Ovis aries: one gene and its partner. The protein of the gene in region 1 interacts with the protein of each later gene in a biochemical or structural test. Links are inferred from orthologs where the notes say so. Each region holds a gene or a part of one and is shown in the gene's direction. Other genes may lie near its edges. The genes, in order: F5 and PROS1.

The links.
Region 2: the proteins of F5 (region 1) and PROS1 form a complex in vitro, tested with the Homo sapiens proteins (2 studies listed by BioGRID). The link is inferred for Ovis aries from reciprocal best matches to the Homo sapiens genes F5 and PROS1.

Annotation. Positions count from the first base shown.
Region 1 is NC_056065.1:36,462,156-36,465,974, reverse strand, and holds part of F5 (coagulation factor V), read left to right. Parts: coding exon 1-888; intron 889-3,819. UniProt on the Homo sapiens protein: Central regulator of hemostasis. It serves as a critical cofactor for the prothrombinase activity of factor Xa that results in the activation of prothrombin to thrombin.
Region 2 is NC_056054.1:159,245,529-159,249,979, reverse strand, and holds the start of PROS1 (vitamin K-dependent protein S), read left to right. Parts: upstream 1-1,510; 5' UTR 1,511-1,618; coding exon 1,619-1,694; intron 1,695-4,451. UniProt on the Homo sapiens protein: Anticoagulant plasma protein; it is a cofactor to activated protein C in the degradation of coagulation factors Va and VIIIa. It helps to prevent coagulation and stimulating fibrinolysis.

The DNA of each region.
Region 1 (3,819 bases):
GATGGCCCCTACCCCAGACCTTGGCCAGGAGTCTCTCTCTCCAGACCTTGGCCAGAGGGGCCTCTCTCCAGACCTCAGCCAGGAGTCTCTCTCTCCAGACCTTGGCCAGACGGGCCTCTCTCCAGACCTCAGCCAGGAGTCTCTCTCTCCAGACCTTGGCCAGACGGGCCTCTCTCCAGACCTCAGCCAGGAGTCTCTCTCTCCAGACCTTGGCCAGACGGCCCTCTCTCCAGACCTCAGCCAGGAGTCTCTCTCTCCAGACCTTGGCCAGACGGCCCTCTCTCCAGACCTCAGCCAGGAGTCTCTCTCTCCAGACCTTGGCCAGACGGACCTCTCTCCAGACCTCAGCCAGGAGTCTCTCTCTCCAGACCTAGGCCGGACAGCCCTTTCTCCAGACCTCAGCCAGGAGTCTCTCTCTCCAGACCTTGGCCAGCTTGATCTCAAGCAGACATCACCTCCTCTAGATCTTGATCAGACATCCCACACTTCTGAATCAAGTCAGTCATTGTCTCTTCCAGAATTTGGTCAGACTTTCCCTTATGCAGATATTGGTCAGATGCCATCTCCTCCACCAGACTCCACACTAAATAACACTTTTATACCAGAAGAATTTAATCCACTGGTTGTAGTAGGCCTCAGTAGAGATGATGGAGATTATATTGAAATTATTCCAGGGCAGAAGGAAGAGAGCAGTGAAGAAGACTATGGTGAATTTGAATTTGTAGCCTATAATGACCCTTACCAAACTGATCTTAGGACAGATATCAGCTCCTCCAGAAATCCTGACAACATTGCAGCATGGTACCTCCGCAGCAACAATGGAAACAGAAAAAATTATTACATTGCAGCTGAAGAAATATCCTGGGATTATTCAAAATTTGTGCAAAGGTTTGACCAGTTCTTATATTCTCATTTTTTCCACTAGTGCTAAAAAAAGTAATTACAACAGTCTAAGAAGATGATTTTGGACAAATCGTGCTAAGTATAATTTAGTTCCCCCATATAGTGCAACTTGGCTTATACTGTTTCCATTGTCAATTTCAAGATAAGCTTTTCCACTTCAGGTGACATCTGGATAACACAAAAGCCATCTCTGTGAGAAGTCTTTGATATGCTGTACTTAAATCAGCACCCTCCTCTCTCTTCTTTGCTCATCAAATATATTCCTACTCCTTCTTGCTCCAGTGCAGAGCCCAATCTATCAATGTTGTTGTTGTTTAGTTGCTGAGTCATGTCTGACTCTTTGTGATCCCATGGACTATAGCCTGCCAGGCTCTCTGTTCATGGGATTTCCTAGGCAGAATACTGGAGTGGGTTGCCATTCTTCCTCCAGGGATCTTCCCCCACCTAGGGATTGAAACTGCATCTCCTCTGTCTCCTGTTTTGGTAGGCAGATTCTTTACCACTAGCACCACCTGGGAAGCGACTTATCAATAGCTATAGGATAATCAATACGATTTCACTGAAGTTGGCTTCAAATCTAAATTTGTGATGTAGAAATCTCCTTTTGCCATTACTTAACAAAAATATTTTTAAATTGTTAACTGATTAGTATGAAGTATATACCATCTTGATGAAGATTAAGTCAAATTCCATGTGATTCCAGTTGCAGAGGTCAAGGGTATAAAGTAGCTTAGAAGCAAAAAGCAAGTTTATGCCCTCGATTGAGCCATTCATTAGATTATGATTCATCTTGATTGGAACTTTTATTTTAACTTGGTTTATAACATCACTCAGTTAATAATTCTTTGTGTGTGTGTGTGTGCTCAGTCGTGTCTGATTCTTTATGACCCCATGGACTGTAGCCGGCCAGGCTCCTCTCTCCATGGAATTCCCTAGGCAAGAATACTGGAGTGGGTTGCCATGCTCTCCTCCAAGGGATCTCCCTGACCCAGGAATTGAACTTGCATCTCTTATGTCTCCTACATTGACGAGCAGGTTCTTTACCACTAGTGCCACCTGGGAAGTCCAATAACTCCTTAATGAGGGCTTATTCTCTCCTAGGCATTGTGCTAAGCGCTGAGACGGTAAAAGAGAATATAAATGCAAGTGATTCCTGCTCTGATGGAACTTGTGTCTAGTTGGGCAGGTAGATATGAACCAAGCACTCATATAAATAAGTGTAAAAAAATTAACCATGATGAAGACCAATAAGGAAAGGTGATCAGTGGTGATATGAGAAGTGGGAAGTCTGACTGGAAAAGTGACATTTGAGTTGAGATCTGAAAATGAACAGAAAGTGGAGAGGGGAGAGCATTCTAGACAGAGAAAACAGCATGATGAAGGCCCTGGGGAAGGAGGAAGCCCTGAGACTAAAGGCCTTGGTAGCTGAAGCTCAAGATGAGGGTGTGTGCTAAGAAAGTGTTTGGCTAGCTCTGTAGAGATAAGATACTACTAGGCTTTGTGGGCCCTGGGAAGAATTTCGATGTTCTTCCAAGAGCAGTGAGAAACCGTCAAAAGTTTTAAGCCACTCCTAGTTGATTGGGATATTTGCAGTCTTTTTAACAAGCAGTTACACAAAGTGGGTCCCAAGATCTGCTTCAGCTCTAACATTTTAGGGTTCTAGCCACTTTTCAACCATAGAGTTGAAGGAGTTGATGCAATTTTGTAAGTGGACTGACTTACAACAGAGAGTTTTTAATGGATTGACATGCATTTTTTAAAGTTAGTTTTCATTTTAATTTTCTCAATTATGGAAAACCACATTGGACTGGGTTCTGTATTCTGGGATGACAAGACAGAGAAAGAAGAGAAAGGGGTACAAAAAGCAACTACAAATTCTTGGGTATAGCTGATGACATGGTAGCTGATGGCCATATTTATACTGTCTAAATATAGCTCATAGCTTTCACAAAAGCTAGCTGTTACCCTAATAAATTAAAATCAAAGTGCAACTAGAGTAAGTAAACACAACACATGGTGTGATTCAGAGAAATTATTTCATTAATCTGGTGCCAGTTAACGTCTGGTGCCAGACATTTCCATATTAAAACTCTGAGTTTAAGAGACTTTCTCCTGTGACTTCCTATTTAACTGTAACACCCTTTACTATATGAGAATAAGTAGTTTATCTGGGGATTGCTAAGCAAGTTCCTGAGGGAGTAAGGTTTTCTAGAGTGTAAAGAGATGAAACCAGTTCCTTCAAAACCTCATGTGTGTCGCGGGGGAGAATCCCATGGACAGAGGAGCCTGGCCAGCCACAGTCCATCGGGTCACAAAGAGTCAGACGTGACTGAAACGACTTAGCACACACATTTATGTATGTTCTAGGGGGCTGTATACCATGCTTAGAGTCTGGAAGCATGGGATTACTAGTATAGCAAGACTAGAAAGTAGGCAGAATGGGATTCTCTAATAATGGCTTGTACTGTATAACAAATACTATGAGATTCATGGGTGAGCTTCTGGCCTGTTTCCCAGATTCTTGGAGAAGGAAATGGCAACCCATTCCAGTATTTTTGTCTGGAGAATCCCATGGACTGTAGCCTGTCAAACTCCTCTATCTGGGGTCGCAAGAGTTGAATACAACTTAGCGACTAAACCACCCAGACTCTAGGGAAATCTAATATTCAGTAGGAAAATCTGATATGCTCTAGCCCCAGACTGAGCTGGTGAACCACATACAGAATGATGTGATCTAGCAAAAGCAAATGTGGGGAGAGTGGCTACTTTCAGAATATAAAACACCTACCCATCCAGTGGCCTTTACAGAGGTGACCCTCTAAATCAACTGACCATTATCATCTGCCTGTCCCAAACCCTGGCACTATTCCATTGCATGACTTTCTCTACTTTTAAAATTAAAATCTGCTATGTTGA
Region 2 (4,451 bases), on another chromosome or scaffold:
ATGATTTAAAAGTTTCACACTCGGTTGAACTTTTTTAAAGATCAAGATTTTTTTTTTAGGTCCTTTGCATTTCGCTAACCTTTCTTCATACTCTGTATTTTTTAATGTCTATATGGGTGATGCTTTGTTATGAACGCTATTGATGCATGATATTTGAAGTCTTCCCTTGTGAAATATTGATATCTCAAAGCCAATATTCTACTCTTAATTCTTCCTCAAGAATGAGGCAATGCTGTGGCTTAAATGCATTTAAATATTCAGTAATTAAATATAATACTTAAAAGTCATTTTGTTTTATGTTCTGATTGCTAGCACACCAAACAATTCTACAGAGATTAGACATATTTTTAATTAAATCGCCTGGGTTTGGAATTCAGACATAGCAAGAAGGAAGTTAAAAGAGGGAAGAATATGGATATGTTCAGCAACTCCTTTGCACATTTTCAGAAATAGTGACCCACATAAACTTCCATCCAGCTGGATCACAGAACCACAGAAAGCTAGAGCTGGGAAACACCCTTGAGAGAGCATCAGGCTATTGACTTTGACACACATAGAAAATCAGTTGATACATTGATTAGGCAGAAATACTGACAGTGATACTTAGGAAGTGTGCCTTAAGTATGGGCTACCCTTTAACACACTAATTGCCTCACATGTGTTCTCTCTCTAAATTCTTCCCTCAACACTGTAAAAACTTACTATTATCTCCATTTTACAGATAATACAATTAGTAAACTGCAGAGCATGGCCACTCTAATCTAGGCGGTTCTTAAACTTAGTCTTAAACATTAATAACATGTTTCAAATGTGCATGCCTAAACATAAAAAGCAGAGGTAATATGCAAAAACCAAAGATGAGCTATTTGAAGGTGATAGAATCCGATACATTCGCTTTTCTCCGCAGAACTTTTTTTTTTTTTTTGCTATACTTTACACTATAAATGCAAGAACAAAATTAAAACGTTGATGATCAAAACCTCCATTAGCTCTGTTCTCCGCAGCCAACTTAGAGTTCTCATTTTTTCCAGATTTTGGTTAACATCTTCATCGCCAACATCAGATTTTTTCCTTTTAAACTTTAAGCCTGGATACCCCGATCTTTAAGAGTCAGACACGATGAGCGACTGAACTGAATTGAACTGAACCCTGATCTCTGAGTCCTCTGTCTTCTGGGCCACTCAAGTCTTCCACTCCGGCTCGCTGGAGGTGGTGGAGATGGTCGTTTTAAACGCTTTTGCTTCCTGTTGTTGGCAAACTTCATATTCCGGAGACCAGAACGAAGCGCTGAGTCTCGAAAGGGCCAGGAAGGATGTCTCGACAGTGTTTACCAGGCCTCCAGTTCTCTCCCTGAGCCCTGCCCCCAGCTCCGAAATGAAAAGCTTCCAGGAAATGTCCCTGTTATCACTTCCCCGCCGGGCGGGGGGCTGGGAGCGGGCGGTCCCCTCCGCCCCCGGCTCCGCGGCTCCGCTGGCGCACTGGCGCACTGGCTCGCAGGCGCCCCCGCGCCGCAGTCCTCAACTAGCGGCGCCCGGGTCGTAGCTCCGCCGCGCGCTGGGCGCTGGGGTCCCCGCCGCAACGCGCCTCCGCTTCTGCCCGCGCCTCCGCCCGTTTCGCCATGAGGGTCCTGGGTGGGCTCACGGGGACGCTGCTGACGTGCCTCGCCCTAGTGCTTCCCGTCTTGGAGGCGAACTGTGAGTAATCAATAGCGTCTTGTCTTCTTTCCCTCAGCGGTGCCAACTGAACTACGAGCCCTGTTGGACGGGTTTTCTTTTCTGGGGCTGCAGCCTCCTAGAAAGTTTCCAGTAAATGCTTCCATCAGCAATGTATCTAGCGGGCCTTGTAATGGTGGGGCAGGGTCAAATGGGAGTCGTGTTGCCTACGGGACAGATTCTAAAACAAGAGTGATACTAAACATCAGTGAAGGAGTTAGAACACCTACCTACCAATTGCCCCTAACAGTGGAAGTTCTCAGTCAGATGACAAGGATGAGCACACTGCAGTATAAAAGTAGGGAGGAAAGGCAACCCCCTCTTGTCTTCCATTTGTACAAGCGCCTGACCCCAACCGGCACCCCCTGCTGCAGCCTACCTCCCTTCTGCAATTTCTGGACTTTGATCTTGCTCTGCTTATCTCAACATTGACAAACGAATTGTTAGGAGATGACTGCGCGTTTGCATAGCAGATCATTTTTTTAACCTTGAAGTCTAAAGGACTGTTAAATATTGTAGTTCTCAGATCGTTTTTTACTGACAGTTTTTGGCACTGAGTGCCGCTCTTCTGAGATCATCGCAGGAATTCTTTTCAGTTTATCTTCGTATGTCTTGTTCTTTATGTTTCCGTGCCTCGATTCAAGGCAGGATATTGAGTTTTCTGTGAAAGAATGTAATCATATCAAGGTATTTAGTACGTTTTAGTTGCCACTTAGTTTGTTCTCTAAAGTTTAAGCACATTCGCTGGTCAAAAATGCTTTCTTGTGATATGTTTTATTCTCAGGAAATGGCATGGGAGAGATAAACTGAATTACACCATAAATGGTTAAAGCTCCATTGTAAGTTTCACAAAGATATAATTTCAGGAGAATTAAATAGGAATTTACTAACATTCCTCGGTGTTTAAGTGGTAAAGAAGCTGCCTGCTAACGCAGGAAACGTGGGTTCCATCTCTGGGTTGAGAAGATCCCTTGGAGGAGAGAAGGACAACCTACTTTCTGGGAAAATCCCCTGGAGAGAGAAGCCTGGTGGACTACAGTTAATAGAGTCACAGCGAGTTAGACAGGACTGAAGCGACTGAACATAACACACACAACATTCTACTGATTTTTCTTAGTTACAGATCAGGATGAATGTGATGTTTTAAAATTCTAATTTAAAGGCTAAAAGAACATTTATTGATTTTATATTAAAGGTCTGTTGCAGAACTTCGACATACAAACCTCTGTCATTAAGCCTATATGTGGACCACATACACTAACTCATTATCTATATAGCTCAGTAGGACAATCAAGTGTTTGTCTGATAACCAGTGTTTTGGAAATGAGAAAAAGGCAAAAATGGCTTGCTACACTTACTGCTTGTCACCACAGAAATTTGCTAAACCATTTGTTTTTGTAGAGATTGTTACATTTTTGTTAAATCTTTTGTTGTTGTGTAGTTGCTAAGTTGGTTTTACAAACCATTGTCTGTAGCTGAGTTAAAAATGATGTGTGCTGTGTTTGTCATTATACCCGTGTAACCATGCCATACATAGGGAGAAATACACTTGTTATATATACACACTAATAGAATAGATAAATTAATTCTTCTATAAAGAATTAATTTGCAGAATTAATTCTTCATATGGCCATAAAGAATAGGTGGCACTATAACACCTTTGTTTTAAAAAGTATAATAGTTTAATGGGATTAAAAATCATTTCTGGCTTACTGATAAGAAAACTGAGATATAGATGGAATGTGTTTACTCCCTGAGATTTTAAACTTGAGATAGAATTAAAGTTCTATTTGTTATATGATTCATTGTTTAGTCCATAGAAATAGTCATTAAAGGAAAAAGTTTATAAACTTTTTTGAAATTGTTCAGAGATATGAACTGACTTTTCAGACATGCATACATATAGATTTGGATCTATATGTATATCTATCTATTGATTTAAAGTTTATTCTTTTATATATTGTATGCCACACTAAAGGCTGTGTGAAGAAAAATAGAGGAAAGAGGATGTCCCCTTTGGCTGTGCTAATTTGGTCCTTTCCAGACATCTACTTCTGCTTAGGTGTCTACCCTGGACATTAATGACTCCTGTTTTTCTTCTCTTTTCTACTTTTTCTTTCCTTTTCTGAATTTTTTTTTTTTTTTTTTTTTACCATTTATCTAGCTTTGTCTTTTCTTAAATTCCCTTTATTTCAGAGTTCAAAATGTGTTGCAGTGATGGAGAGATTTTTATCAAGTTTAGATTAGAGTTGGGGTTGGTGCTGGAAGAGTTAGAGACAATGTCTGGTATACAGCATCATCATCAATAACAACACCCTGTGCCATATTCTTCTGCTGTTAATCACATCTAGGATGTAGAACCTTGCTTTTCATAATCAATCTTTTCTGTCCACCAAGTTCAGTAAAACTCTTTAATAGCTAAGTGATATCTATTCCTATTTAAACTTTTAAAATACTGAGAAAAATGTGAGAAGCCTGATAATACCTATATTAATTAATATTCTTTGGCTATAAGCAACAGCAATGACTCTTGATAACTAAAGGCAAAGGGAAGGAAGAAGGAAGAGGAAGAGAGAAAAAGAAAGAAAAGAAGAAATAAAGAAAAAAAGAGGGGGAAAAAAAAAGCTGAGTGAATTGATTGGAAGACTAGGGAAGCCAGGGACTTGGGCATTTAGGTGATCTATATAGTGGAAACTCATGTGCTCACTATGTTAGGAGCTGCCATCAGATAACCCAGTT